2 linked regions of the Lepisosteus oculatus genome follow. The protein of the gene in region 2 interacts with the protein of the main gene of each other region in a pairwise test. Links are inferred from orthologs where the notes say so. Each region holds a gene or a part of one and is shown on either strand. Other genes may lie near its edges.

The links. The genes of interacting proteins can lie anywhere in the genome.
Region 1: the proteins of cep76 (region 2) and c22h22orf39 interact in binary tests that used the Homo sapiens proteins (3 or more experiments, as listed by UniProt). The two-hybrid records come from large-scale screens. The link is inferred for Lepisosteus oculatus from reciprocal best matches to the Homo sapiens genes CEP76 and C22orf39.

Annotation. Positions count from the first base shown.
Region 1 is NC_090717.1:1,244,670-1,251,992, reverse strand, and holds c22h22orf39 (synaptic plasticity regulator PANTS), read right to left. Parts: upstream 2,780-7,323; 5' UTR 2,686-2,779; coding exon 2,671-2,685; intron 1,647-2,670; coding exon 1,479-1,646; intron 849-1,478; coding exon 717-848; 3' UTR 513-716; downstream 1-512. Other genes in the region: ufd1l (ubiquitin recognition factor in ER-associated degradation protein 1), read right to left, coding at 4,555-4,629, 5,940-6,021, 7,048-7,136. UniProt on the Homo sapiens protein: Negatively regulates long-term potentiation and modulates adult synaptic plasticity. Stabilizes the interaction of RTN4 isoform A/Nogo-A with its receptors, inhibiting clustering of postsynaptic AMPA receptors at synaptic sites.
Region 2 is NC_090705.1:9,336,137-9,343,510, forward strand, and holds the start of cep76 (centrosomal protein of 76 kDa), read right to left. Parts: upstream 3,024-7,374; 5' UTR 2,835-3,023; coding exon 2,772-2,834; intron 1,409-2,771; coding exon 1,253-1,408; intron 579-1,252; coding exon 497-578; intron 89-496; coding exon 1-88. Other genes in the region: psmg2 (proteasome assembly chaperone 2), read left to right, coding at 3,417-3,473, 3,598-3,769, 4,636-4,694, 5,363-5,481, 6,204-6,377, 7,214-7,334. UniProt on the Homo sapiens protein: Centrosomal protein involved in regulation of centriole duplication. Required to limit centriole duplication to once per cell cycle by preventing centriole reduplication.

The DNA.
Region 1 (7,323 bases), on a different chromosome or scaffold from region 2:
GCCTAAAAACGACTTCACTTGAGAACCCAGGATTGGAAACAAGATGCCCTCCAAGAGCTCACCATGTTCTGTCTAGATATTTAATAAATTTATATAAAATTCAACACCGTTTTCTTGTTTCCTGTGAAACCATGTCTGGATGTGAACAAAAGCCAACAAAGGTGTGAAAGTTGTTTTTCTGAAATTTTTAGGAGCATGTTACACAGTAATGGACATCTACATTGAATACATTTACATCAGTTAAACTGATGAGAAAGCATTATTCATTTTTATACATGCAAAACTTGCATTAAACAGAGTACCGTACCTTGCGAGATCTTGAAATCTCTGCTCCGATTCAATTTGAAACAATCACAGCTACGATGCTTTTTACATTAAATGGAAGAGAAAATGTCAGTGATAACCCAGTTGTATCCTGGCTGGGTGCACAGCAGAGACGAAGACAGACATTCTGGTTCTGCGCCGGTAGTCTGCCTCGAGGCAAACTGGAAATAAGCAGTCAAACTAGAATGGGACGGGTACTGTATTTAATCAGAAAGATCTCAGCTCAGGTCCTGAAGAAACGCCGTCAGTCGTGTGCATCTCTTCACGAGAACTTGACGAATGCTGGACCGGCCTTAAGCCGACACACAGTTCCGGGTGGTGGCAGAGGTCTGGCTGCAGTCCTGCTGTTGTCACAGCATCACGGAGGGCAGCTGGGCTCCTCCCCCCGTCGCTCAGGAGCCCTTAAGCTTCCCCTGCTGGAGGGGCGCGTGCCAGTCCGCTGGGGGGGTCTGCCGGAGCTCCCACACGGGCACGAACCCCCTCTGCTGCTCCACTCTGGCTCGCTCGCTGTCCCGCAAGGCCTCCTGTGGTCACAGAGGAAAGTCACTGGTGCACAGAAACAGGGTTCACGCCGTCTAATCGCTGTGCCTCGTGCCCAAACTCCCCAAACCCAATTCTCCCTGCGCCACAACTGGCAGGCGGAGGCCACACGGTCCAAGCAAAGGCTTGATCGGCGAAGAGTTCCTGGTTCAAACCCAGGCGCTGCCACCAGCGCGCTGTGTCACCCTGCTCAAATCATTGAACCTCCTCTGAGCGCAGACCTGAGAGTGAGAAGTGCATTCGGCACCTCGAACCGCAGCGTCTGCCGTTTACACGAAGAGTTGCGGGGGTCTGGAACGCGCTACCCAAGCACGTTGTCGAGGCCGCTATCCAGCCGTTTCTGAAAGGCGCCAGGGTAAGAACCTTGGACTGATTAGCTGCTAACCACCAACACAGCGAGACCTTTGGTAGAAGGAACGTATTAGACTTACTACTGACTTATTACACATGCCCTTTCTTATAAGGAGTAGAACTAAGGTTATGTTGAGAAGTAAATCCCAACAGGCTACGATATAAGAACCTGCCGAGGAAAAATGGATCAACAGACAGCTTGAACAAACCACTTGCTGATCAACGGAAAGGCCAAGGGTGACCAGGGTCCGCACGGCGCTCACCTTGGCCTCCGAGCCGCGGTGCCTCTCCCACTCGCAGCAGCTGTAGTGGTCCGTCTTCCACTGCTGGCACGAAGGGGCCCGTCCGAAGGTGTAGTAGTGGTGCAGGCGGTTCATCAGGCTCCTGCAGTGCCTGTATTCGCTCAAGTAGTCGGCGCAGGACCGGGGAGGCTGCAGGCGAAGCACATGGAGGTGAAACTGTTCCCCACAGTGCTCGCAGGTCACTCCTCCCGCCAGCAAGGGCAGAGAGCACAGCGAGAACCCTTACAGTAAGAGCAACCTATAGACATCTACCTATACACATCTTATAATAATAATAATAATTGCTTACACTTATATAGCGCTTTTCTGGACACTCCCCTCAAAGTGCTCTACAGGTAATGGGGATCCCCTCCACCAGCACCAGTGTGCAGCTCCACCTGGGTGATGCGCCAGTCCGCTCCCCACACACCAGCTCTCAGTGGGGAGGAGGGCAGACTGATGAAGCCAGTTCAGAGATGGGGGTTATTAGGAGGCCATGATTGGTAAGGGCCAAGGGGAAATTTGGCCGGGACACCAGGGTTACACCCCTACTCTTTTCAAGAAACGCCCTGGGATTTTTAATGACCACAGAGAGTCAGGACCTCGGTTTCACGTCTCATCCGAAGGACGGCGCCTGTTTACAGTATAATGTACTCATCACTATACGGGGGCATTAGGACCCACATGGACTGCAGGGTGAGCACCCCCTGCTGGCCCCACTAACACCGCTTCCAGCAGCAACCTTAGTTTTTCCCAGGAGTCTCCCCTCCAGGTACTGACCAGGCTCACCCTGCTGAGCTTCAGTGGGCTGCCAGCTGTGAGCTGCAGAGTGATATGGCTGCTGGCTTTACCATCTTAACCATGCTCCGCTCATTTCTTTATCTTTAAAACTCGTATTTAGAAATATCTTTACTGCTATTAGGAAAATGCTATTAGGGTTAAGTATGAAGTGCCAGAAATGATTCAGTATTCAAGAGTAAGCTCATTTCAAAATGTATAACGGTAACTACCAGGGTAAAAACAGAAGTGTTCGGTGAACACCGGCGTATCTGTTATTTAATGGATTTTACTCTGCGGAGAAGCTACCGGTCATTCAGCTAATCGATCCGTACTTTTTTTTTGTTGAGACCACAAACCATATTCGAAATATTTAACGCCAAATTTATAAGCTTACCCTCCAAAGCGCCATCGTGAGCAGCAGGACTTCCGGCAAGGACAGGAAGTTTTGAGGCTGTTCTCTGGTCAGCCAATCACAGACAGGGCATACGCTCTGCCCCCTCCCTCTTCCCTGCGCTCCTGTCACCAGGCTTGCTTCCTAAGTAATCACTTGCCCTTCAGCTCCTGATGTGGTAATGCGAGTCAGTTAGACGCCTTTCTCATAAAGATAAAGGGGGTTCATCCATTCATAGTTCTACTAATAAAATTACTTTTCCATTCCATTAAACTGTGTGCATTTAGGAAGAAACCAGACCACCCTGCAAAAAGTCTCAAAACAACACAGGAGAACATGCAAACTCCACACAGAGGTGTCTGAGGTCAGAGTCGAACCCAGGACCCTGGAATCATGCAACAGCAACACCCACCACCATGCCAGTGTGCCAATCCCAGCAAGCTTTATAGATCAGCAGGAGCTTCAGCCCTGTGGTAAGAGGGAGGAACTAGTCCAGTTAAGCCTTAATAATAATTGCTTACACTTGTATAGCGCTTTTCTGGACACTTCACTCAAAGCGCTTTACAGGTAATTGGGATCCCCTCCACCACCACCAGTGTGCAGCCCCACCTGATGTAGTGCACCAGAACGCTCACCACACATCAGCTATCAGTGGGGAGGAGAACAGAGTGATGAAGCCAGTTCAGACATGGGGATTATTAGGAGGCCATGATTGGTAAAGGTCAATGGGAAATTTGGCCAGGATGCCGGGGTTACACCCCTACTCTTTTCTAGAAACGCCCTGGGATTTTTAATGACCACAGAGAGTCAGGACCTCAGTTTTACATCTCATCAGAAGGATGGCGTCTTTTTACAGTATAGTGTCCTCATCATTATACTGGGGCATTAGGACCCACACAGACCGCAGGGTGAGCGCCCCCTGCTGGCCCCACTAACACCTCCTCCAGCAGCAGCCTTAGCTTTCCCAGGAGTCTCCCCTCCAGGTACTGGGCAGACTCACACTGCTGGGCTTCAGTGGGGCTGCCAGCTGGGAGCTGCAGGGTGATATGGCTGCTGGCTAATTAATTGCCTTAGTAAGGCAGTTTAATCCTCACCCTGATGTCAATGCTGATGTTTCAACAACACGAGTGGGCCCTTCGCATCCTACAACCACAAACCATTGTGTGAAGAAGTCTCTGCTGTTTCCCGTGCGTGATCGATTTTCTATTGAACTTTTAGGATTTCAGTACCTGTATTAGTGCCCATGTTGTCAGGTCATGTGTTCAATGCTATAAGGATTTCTTTAAACTGTCTGGAAGATTTTCTTATCAGCCCAGGAAATAACCTTGCAGGGCCGAACGTTTCTGAGCCAATACCTCAGAAAACTTCATTCTTTAATGACATCCCTGAAATTAAACACAGGGATCTGCAAATCACACTGCTGCACCATATAGGAGAAAACAAAATATTGCCTCTTCAAATTGTACAGACAATACAGATGAAGAATAAAAGCACTCATAAGTGGGTTTATATCGGCTTTATTAAAAGTATTAAGTGGTTTTGATATATATAGTACATAAATTAGCAAAACAGTGAATCCCTGTATTGTATTAACCAAAAGTTATAATGCAGTTATGTGAAATAATTCCGATATCTGTAGGACAATTGTTTTCTTCCCCAATCTTTTTCCATAAGTTTGTTCCTGTGTGAAAATTCTTTGTTGAATGAAAACCAGGAAAAAAAAAACTCTTCTGGGGCTCCGAATTCCGAAGTGAGGGACACGCAGAGAGGAAGTCTGGCTCTACCCGTCGGCAAATTGATTTCACTCGTCACTGGTGGGTCCGGGTCGGAGCTCAGGGCCTGCGTGTCCACCCTCTGTCCGTTCCCTGCTTGACAGGGGGGGGGGTCCTAGGGTTTCCTCCCTTTCTTGCGCAGCGACTGGCCCTCACCGGAGAAGGCGATGAACCTGTTCACGGCATCCTCCTGCAGAACAGTGGAGACGGACAGCAGACAGCGCCTCGTTAGGCTCTCTTCAGGAAGCGGCCTCAACAGGCATAGGGCCCCAGTGCATGGGACAGCTGGACGCCACGCCTGGCAACCAGGAGGGAGTCTCCACAGCTGCTTGAGCCCACTGAAGCTCAGCAGTGTGAGCCTGGCCAGTACCTGGCTGGAAGCCTCCTGGGAAAAACTAAGGTTGCTGCTGGAAGAGGTGTTAGTGGGGCCAGCAGGGGGCGCTCACCCTGCGGGCTGTGTGGGTCCTAATGCCCCAGTATAGTGACGGGGACACTATACTGTAAACAGGCGCCGTCCTTCGGATGAGACGTAAAACCGAGGTCCTGACTCTCTGTGGTCATTAAAAATCCCAGGGCGTTTCTCGAAAAGAGTAGGGGTGTCACTCCGGCATCCTGGCCACATTTTCCATTGGCCCTTACCAATCATGGCCTCCTAATAATCCCCCTCTATGAATTGGCTACAACCCTCTGTTCTCCTCCCCACTGAGAGCTGGTGTGTGGGGAGTGTTCTGGTGCACTATGGCTGCCGTCACATCACCCAGGTGGGGCTGCACACTGGTGGTGGTGGAGGGGATCCCCATTACCTGTAAAGCGCTTTGAGTGGAGTGTCCAGAAAAGCGCTATATAAGTGTAAGCAATTATTATAATTACTAATTATTAATTAAAACACTACGACCAGCACATGAATTCGGGATTTAAAGTGCAATATAAAACCGAGAAGGACCCCACTGCTATTTTGACATGGGAGGGGAACCCCACTTTGTTCCACTGCTATTTTGACATGGGAGGGGATCCCCACTTTGTCCCCCACTGAAGTGCAGCCCAAGGTGAGTGACAGGCTGCACCTTTCTGCACAGTCTATCAGGTGGAGGAGTGACAAGCTGCTTCACTAAATGAATTAAGCTGGGACTTTAGGAAGGCCAGATTGTTCAAGAATTTAAACAGGACACCAGGATTACACCCCTACAGGGCCAAGAGGTCTTTAATGAGCAAGTAATCAGCTTAATGTCTCTCCCAAAAGGACAGCACCTCCTACGGTAGCAATCTGGTCACTACTGGTGTGGAAATTGTTTTAGAGGAAAGAACGCCGCCTACTGACAGCTGGACAGCCATCTTGCACAGCCATCTTGCACAATGGATTAACGCAGGGGAGTTAAGTTTTGATTTCATCTGCTTCCGAGTTAAAACATGCAGGGACAAATTCAGAACTTGAATCTCTTTTTAAGTTGAAAGGACAAAGACAAAAAAGGGCAACTATTTCTTTCTTTCCTTAACACTTACATCGTCTATTTTCTTCGGCTGCGGCCGTGAATTCCTGATGAAGGTTATCTTCCCCATCCTGAAGTCGTAGTTCGGAATGCCCCTGAGGGAGAGGGGAAAACCACCGGTCACTTCAAGCCGAATCCTTGCGGATCAGTGCGGGATCTCGGCTCACACACCTCCCAGGATGCGTGATGTCTAAGAGCTCGGTGCGCAGCTGAAAACACCTGAAAATACAGCGATTCCCTACACTTCCCCCTTTGCCTCCCTCGTCCTGCTTACCGACAGGCCTCGCCGTCTTCATATATAAAACCATGTTTCAGTAATAGGTGTGCAAGATGGAATCACCAGTGCACCGGTCATCAACACTGCCCTCCCACCATGGGGCAGGAGGCACTGCCTCTCCAAAAGCTTTACCCTTCTGCCCTGCGCCAGAAAAAAAATCCCTAGTTCTTGGAAGAACTGTCCAGAAGCCACAATACATTTAGGTAGGCTCTAATCTCTATTCTCAAACATTTTTTTAGAAAATTGGCTTTTTGTTTTTTGAAGGCTCTGAACATCCGTGCATGTCATCAAGTTAATGGGGCGGAGTGGTGGCTCTGTGGCTAAGTATCTGCGCCCGCAGCCAGCAGAGGATTCCCACTCCGTTTGGCCCCTGAGCAAGGCCCTTAACCCCAACTGCTCCAGGGGCGCCGTATAAATGGCTGACCCTGCGATCTGACCCCAAGCTATTTTTACTTTCTGAATACAATGGTTAAAGCCCCAACATGTTTAACAACAAGCAGGTCGAATGAATCTTCATGTGAAGGGTCTGACTGTGAAACTGAGGGCTCGGCTGGAACACGAACAAACAGGTGTGCTCGTCACCAGCACCAGAGCTGGGGACCACTGCCACAGACTCCAGGCCCAGACGGTACCTCCCAGCAGAAGATCCCCGCTCTGGGATTGGCTGAATTAGAAGCTGGCAAACGAATCGGCATGCTCTGATTGGGCGGGAAGTCATTCCCTAACTTCCCTTCTCTAATGTTCTCCTTTCTGGCCCCTTTGCTACCGGAAGATGACCAGGGGACCCGAGCTCTTTTTGCGACACGGAAACGCACAGACAGGCCAGCGTGAGCGGGTGGGAGACCTTTTGATGTCGTTGGGGTCCAGAGGCGCAGGGCTGGGCTCGATGCCCTTCTTCTTGCCGTCCAGTCGGTTCCCTGATCCCGTGAATGCCTGACAGGGACAAGGGAGGATAAGAACAGGATCAGACGAGATGCAGCCCTTTTCGCTCCCACAGTGCTGAGCAGCTAGTTGACCCCCAAGATCTCATCCTGCCTTTTCTGTTCCTTGATCGGGCAACACACCCCCCCCACTCTTTGTGTAAACCAGATTAAATATGACAAGAAGAAGTGCTGATCAT
Region 2 (7,374 bases):
AATGGCTCAGGCTCCTGGAGATGCTCCAGAAAAGCCTTTCCCCCAAGAACCTGCAGGTAAAGGTACCTTCTTGTTGGGTCAATGTTGGCTGGAAAAGAAATTAACCTCAATTAGGAGACGCCGATGGGCCATTAATGCGATTATGGAGTTAGAATTAGGCTCATTTTAAAGTAATCGATAAATAACAGTGACAAAAGGATTACTTCATGTTCACACTCAGTAAAAAAATCCCATTTCTACTTTTTAGTAAAGCAAGGAAGTACTGCACGATAGTTTTGTAGCACAAGCGAACCGTTAAACCAGTATTTTCGGAGTCAAAAAGCTAACACTAACGCATACCCTGAAGTAAATCAGACTGCCTATTGTAAGATTTTTTTTTTTGCCTTTATGTAATATGCCATTAAAATGGTAAATGGTAATTTCCAGTTCAGTTCTTCCAATTTAACTGAATGGACCAAACATTATTGCACTGCATATCGTTAAAAGTCTTTCTTACTTTTCTTGAGTTGTGCTGGCTCCTTGTCGACAAAATGTGTTGAGGGTTTAGGAGTAGAGATGGCCTCTCTGCTTGGCAATTCCTAATCCAGGCCACACACACAGAGGGAAGGGAAACAGACATCAGGAGATTTCTTCACGGGGGGAAAACATGTCACCCTTATACAGTATCATGTACTTAACAGCACACTTCCCAACAAATAAGTGTCCTTCCTTCATTATTAAGTAAGCCCTCCTTACTGTCCCCCAAGCCCGTCTACATTGTATGGGCGACAGGGCCTTCTCCTGCTATGCCCCCAAGCTCTGGAACTCTTTGCCCAAGGATATCCGAGAGTCAGCTTCTCTAAACTCCTTCAAATCCAGACTCAAAACCTTCTTCTTCAGAAAAGCCTTTACTTAACTGGTTCCATTCTTCACCCCTCTGCTCTTCTTAGTACCACCTTCCACGGTCTCCTCTATTGTTATTGTTGTAATTGTAATTGTGTCTTATCTTGTGAAATCTTCCTATTTATTGTTGTAGTCTTCTTATTTATTGTTATTGTCATCCTGTAAAGCGCTTTGAGAAGCCACCTTTAAAGGCGCTATATAAAATAAAGTTTATTATTATTATTATTATTATTATTATTATTATTATTATTATTGAAAACATAGATACAGAGTTAAAATGGAAACAACCGAAAACAGAGATAGTTTTCTGCGTCGGTAAGATACCGCGAGATAAACTGGATTGTAATCCTGATCTGAATCAAACACTCACCTGCACAAAGCTTAGGTCCTTCATGACATCATCGACGATCCCCCTTCGTTGCAAACCCCGTATTAAGTCCTCTTCCGAGAGATTGTGATGTCCAGAGCCCAGCTCCTCCCGCACGGTCTCAGCCAAGACATCCCGGATCTTCCCATGGATATCGATCTGCACATGCATCCATTAGATACATCCATTAGATACACCTCCTGGGAAAAACTTAGGTTGCTACTGGTAGAGGTGTTATTGGGGCCAGCAGACACTGCAGTCCATGTGGGTCCTAATGCCCCAGTATAGTGATGGGGACACTATACTGTAAACAGGTGCCGTCCTTCGGATGAGACGTAAAACCGAGGTCCGGACTCTCTGTGGTCATTAAAAATCCCTGGGCGTTTCTCGAAAAGAGTAGGGGTGTAATCCCGGCGTCCTGGCCAAATTTCCCATTGGCCCTTACCAATCATGGCCTCCTAATAATCCCCCTCTATGAATTGGCTTCATTACTCTCTGCTCTCCTCCCCACTAATAGCTGATGTGTGGTGAGCGTTCTGGTGCACTATGGCTGCCGTCGCATCATCCAGGTGGTGGAGGGGAGTCTCCATTACCTGTAAAAGCGCTTTGAGTGGAGTGTCCAGAAAAGTGCTATATAAGTGTAAGCAATTATTATTATTATTATTATTATTATTATTATTACTTCTTTATCCCAGAAAGGGTGAGAGTATTATGAATCAAACTACCCAGACATTGTGTTGTAGCCTGTACCCTGGCTTCAGGCAAGAAACGGCAATCAGCTACTAACATAAGAGGTGGATTGGACCAAAGGCCTTCTTTCATCTTCGCTGGAATCAAACTACCGTAGAAGATATGTGAATGATGAAAACAAAAATTGTTTACACTGTATCTTCAAATAAACGCCGCATACAGCTTGAACACGATCTTGATTAAAATTTTCACATTAAAATATGATTTCTCGTGGTACATACGCCCATTTTCTGAGTGCTAATACAGTAGCATGCGTTAAAGCTTAGTCGCACTGAACCTACAAGAAGCACAGTTCTGTACCAAGGCCTTCCCCAGTGGGTCTGCAGAGTGCGATGATGGTTATCTGATTATTTCGAAAAATGCTTGAGTTGATTTCAAATATTTTTTTTTAAGAACTGTAGGCCAAAGGAACTATTTAATGTTGGCAACTACAGAGTCCGGAATTTAAGAGATCAGACAACAATTCAGAACCGTGGACAGAGCACAGCAATCGGGCAACTAAAACCAGGAGGAAACCTTACCGACTGAATGCTCAACCTGAAGCCGAAAACATGACAGCAGGAACAGCTTAGAAAGACGGACTGTTACCTGTCACATTAGCTACCTGTACTTTCACTGAAGTGGCCCATAAGTATCTTCGAGTGCTACAACATTATTCCCGCAAACTTTAAGCTCCGGACTCGTTTCTTTGGAAAGTCTGGACGATGGGTTAAGATCATATTATTTCTCCAAAGCATGCAGGCGTCTCTGGTGAGACTAATACTGTACTCACCTTTGTCAAGTGGTTGTGAATGATCTGTTTCAGCTCAGAAGCCTTTTCTGGTGGAAGAGACATGCTCACAGAGGACGTCTACTGTATAGAAGTCCCAACGAACAAATCGTTACTTATTTAATTACGTGACTACTTTCACACTCCCCCTGCTTACTTAAATTGAAACTGGTCAAACTAAAAAAAAAGGGGGGCTGATTTCGCTTTCCAGGTTTTCGAAAGCAGCAGTCTGAACCGTCAAGCTCGTCTCCTCCCCACAACAACCAACGAGCAGACAGAACTTTCAAACCGTGGCGGAAAAGCCAGCGGGAAGCCATCCATTGTAGTGCCCGACTTAATCTTGCACAAAATAAAATGCAGCAAAGGGAAATAGCACACATATTACACCCAATTTATATATTTGTCCATACTTTTTAAAGATAATGACATTTTCGTTATATATTTTGTGTCTAACAAAAAGTCATTTTAGTTTTCATCAGGCACCATATAAGTCCACCCTCAACGTAACAGACTCCAAGCGAGCGTCATGTCAAGGAAGGACCCTGGAAGTAGCATGGAGTTGTAGTGAAACGGAAAGTTGTCATTCTGTACACATTAGTACAGTTAAAAATCATTTTACCGAATTGTCTATTTTTCTTACTCGCAAACATGTTTATTCCGGTTGGGTGCTCAGCGCCCTCTTTCAAAGAGTTTACCCTTATAATGGTAAGTTAGACGTTTTACATTATGCTTAATGTTGTTTTTTTCTAGTTGTTAATTTACATGTTAAAAAAGGGCTTATATATTTTTCCGTTCCTTTACTTTGCTGTTATCCTGTGGTTGATTGTAGCCGGCGGTATCGGTGGGAAACGTGGGACAGTTTGCAACAGACCTGGTCATTTCTACCCTTCACATGCCTCGAGTGGGCTATTTCCACAGTGACTGTCTAGTACCCATGGTAGGAAATAATCCCTATGCCACATCGCCAGAAGATTCATCTGAACTCAGTACAAATGCCGAAGGTTAGTATGTGGACGGATTCTGCTCATCAAAGATACGTATATGCATCAACGCGTCTGGATGCAACGAAGTTTAGATTTTTTAGATAGCCCGTACCAAACTGACACAGCTTGTCTTGAATGTGTGGTAGTTTTGTTGTAGTTCTCAAACTCTTGTAAATAACCGATCTGCTGTGTACTATAGCAGGTTCAGGCTATGTAGTGATTTAAGATCATCCTTAAAATGCATAATAATTTGCATCTATAAATTATTATTGCATCTTTAAGTGTTGTAGATTTAAATCAATACGTTTATTGAAATAATATGTGAATTTCATGCTGGACGTACATGTAGTCCACCAAAAGAACGTTCAGTATTCATCTGAACTCACACTTACAGTGGATATTCTTTTTCTGATACAGGCCAGAACATAAGCTTTTCTAGAGAAAACCAGCAAATAATTCACGCTCACGTTTATTCACTGTCAGTTTCTACTTGTGTCCTCTTGTTTATTCTAAAGAAGACCACTGGGTTGACTTTGTCAGTGCCTTTGAGAATGTTTAAAACTTGGTTCAGGTCCCCTTGTAGTCTTCTGTGTTCAAGATGAAAAAGGTTCAGTGCGTGTAGCCTGTTCGTATAGGATATTCCATTCAGTCCCTGAATGTCTGGTGGTTCTTTGCTGGACTGATGAAAGAACAACAAATGATTTTTTATGATGTAGTGACCAAAATTGTATGTAACATTCTGACAATTCAAGTGCTGTGCCTCTTTCCATATAAGTCTGCACATTCTGTGTTACAGATGTATTTAGTACTGTATATAGATTTAATGATAAAAAGTTACATCCAAAGAAATGTCAGTGGCATTTTCTGTTTTTGTCTGTGCACAGTGTACTCTTTGCCTGACTTAAAGCTGGCTGTCCTTCAGATCCGGGCTCCCATCATACAGGTAAGAAGCTATGGACCAGAGGCTAAGTAGGCTGATTAGATGAATTAATTAGACTAATTAAGTCATTAAGGGTAATTAACCTGTCTAAGAAGGTAGACGGAGTAATTAACTCCACCACAAGTAGGACTACTATATTTGTGTAGAGCCCCACCGAAGTGTAGTGAATGTTCAAGAAGAAAAGTACATAAACCTATAATCGCACATTCAGTGCTAGTGAAGTCGCATTCATTATATCACTTTTATTGTATACTTCTGCAGCTTTGTTGGCTTTCATAATAAGTGTATTATAATAAGTTACAATGGTCCATTCCTTTGAGTTTAAATTATGGGTAGTAAAAAAGCTAGTTCAGGTGGGTAGCTGCGTCAGATGCGTAGGCTGCAAAGGAACAAGTAATAGGTTTATTCCATGCTGGAAAAAAAGAAGAAAGAGAACACAACGTTTCGGCCGTGGAGCCTTCTTCAGGTGTGTGACCTTGGTGTGTGACCAAGCCCAGACCTGAAGAAGGCTCCACGGCCGAAACGTTGTGTTCTCTTTCTTCTTTTTTTTCAGCATGGAATAAACCTCTATTACTTGTAAAAAAGCTAGTCTGTCATTTTGTTAGTACAGCTTTTCTGTGACCATTCAACTTACAGGAATAGGTCTAATCGTTTCTTTCTTGCCTTATTAGACGAAATACAGGCAGTTTCGGAAACGTGTTGTCTCCTGGATCAAGACAAACAAATTCTCCAAAGTTGTCCTCCTGTCTAGCTGTCATGCTCATCATCGGGATGACCGTCAGCTCCTCAGGTGAGAGACCTCTCATCTTTAATCTTCGGTTTTATGTCATTTTGTCTTTCTCTTCTCTGTGATGAATGTAGTATTTCACATTGATGGCTCTTTGACCCAGTAGATAAAAACAAGTGGCTAGCAGATTTACTGCTGATTCTGTGTGGTCTTTCAGCAGCACAATGTTGAGGGGAATAAGAATAAAGAATAAAGCAGACAGGCAGAAGCTTTAGTTCGTTTAAACCTTTTCTTCCCGATGTTCTGGATGGACAATTATCCTGCGCAAAGTACCTTTAACCTATACCTTTAACGCAAAGTAGCATTACATTAGTTGAATTGTTGTGTAGTAATGTGTGGTATGAGCAATGTTCCCTCTGAGCTGTGGGCGGGTAAGCGCACGCACAGGTTACGAGATCAGCACACATAGGAAATTGAACTGCGCACAAAACATCAAATAAAAAAAAATGATGATAATAAAACAAACACGGTCGTCAATTGGAAAATGCTAAATTGACCACATGGGACTGGCTGAGAGAGGCCCACCTTGGCTGTGTGCATTATTACTGCTCCTCGATCATCGATATCTACGCTCTTGAAGTCTCCTTCCTCACTGCTCGTGCTCGCTCCACACTCAGCCTCTATAACTGGGCTCGTTGAATCGCTGTCCTGGTCTTTTGGATCTCTATGCTTATATGAGGTTGACTATATTGACAAAAAAGAAATATTCCGTCCTCTGCTTCCAGCACTCCTCTGCGCTATTTGCTCACTCCTGCCCTGCAGAGCGTTGTCGGAGATGGACTGCAGAAGCTGGACTGGAAAGAGATGGAGAAGGTGTCGGCTTTTCCGGGGATCAGTGACACGGAGCAACGCCTGTACATCCCTGGAGGAGGTGTCACTAAAACCCTCTACGCTGACTGGTACGTCCAGCGAGACTGCGGCGTTCAGGACTTTCAGTGAACCCTGCACTGCTAAATGTACTATTCTCCCTTTTACACTAGTGTCCAGGGCCTTATTCTTTAAATTAACCCGCTGAGTTAAAAGTCGTCTGTATTCCACCAATCTGATTGCTAAATTCAAATTAATTTATTGAAATAGCATGGGAGCTTTATGCTGGATGTACATGTAACAAACCAAACGATCTAGAGAGAAATCAGCATGCATCTGAACGTACAGGCCAGAGCCCTAAGGTTATATAGAGAAAGCCAACAAATAAATCAAGTTCACATTAATTCACTGTCCATTTCTACTCCTTTTTTTTTTCTAGTGAATTCTAAAAAAGCTCACAGGGTTGACTTTGTCAGTGTCTTTGAAGAATTTGAATACTTATATCGGGTCTGTCAGTGTAAGGCTGTCAGGCTCTTCTCAGGATTGATTCCAGACCCGCTGAACTAAAAGCCTACGGGTCTTGTTGGGAGGCATTTCTGATCAATCGTACACTGTGTTCTACAAAGATGTAGATTTGTCCTGCTTGTAAAATATTGGCAAAAAGTTGGGAGTAACCCCCGTCCAAACTATTCCTTTTGGTGTAGTAGATAATACTAGGAAGCAAACATTTATAAATTGTAATTATTACTTATGAATACTGAATACAATAAAAAGAAAACATTCTTATAACTGTCACCCTAGATTAACCATGTGTGCCGACACATACAGTTCACCACACTTTCTGTACTGGACTTGTCTGAATAAAACTGATATTTTCTGTGCAGTGCAAACATATATTGGGAGAGATTTGTGTATTTCTGTATTTCAGCTGTTCAGAAGGGATCCCATTAGCAGTGCTGTTGATATTCTGCTCCGAAGGTGACAATATGCCACATGCTTTTGCACTAGTGAACTACCTCAATGAGTGGCTCCATCTGGTGGAGAAGCCCGTAAGTATTTCAACAAGAGTTAGCTATGCGGGTTTTGTTT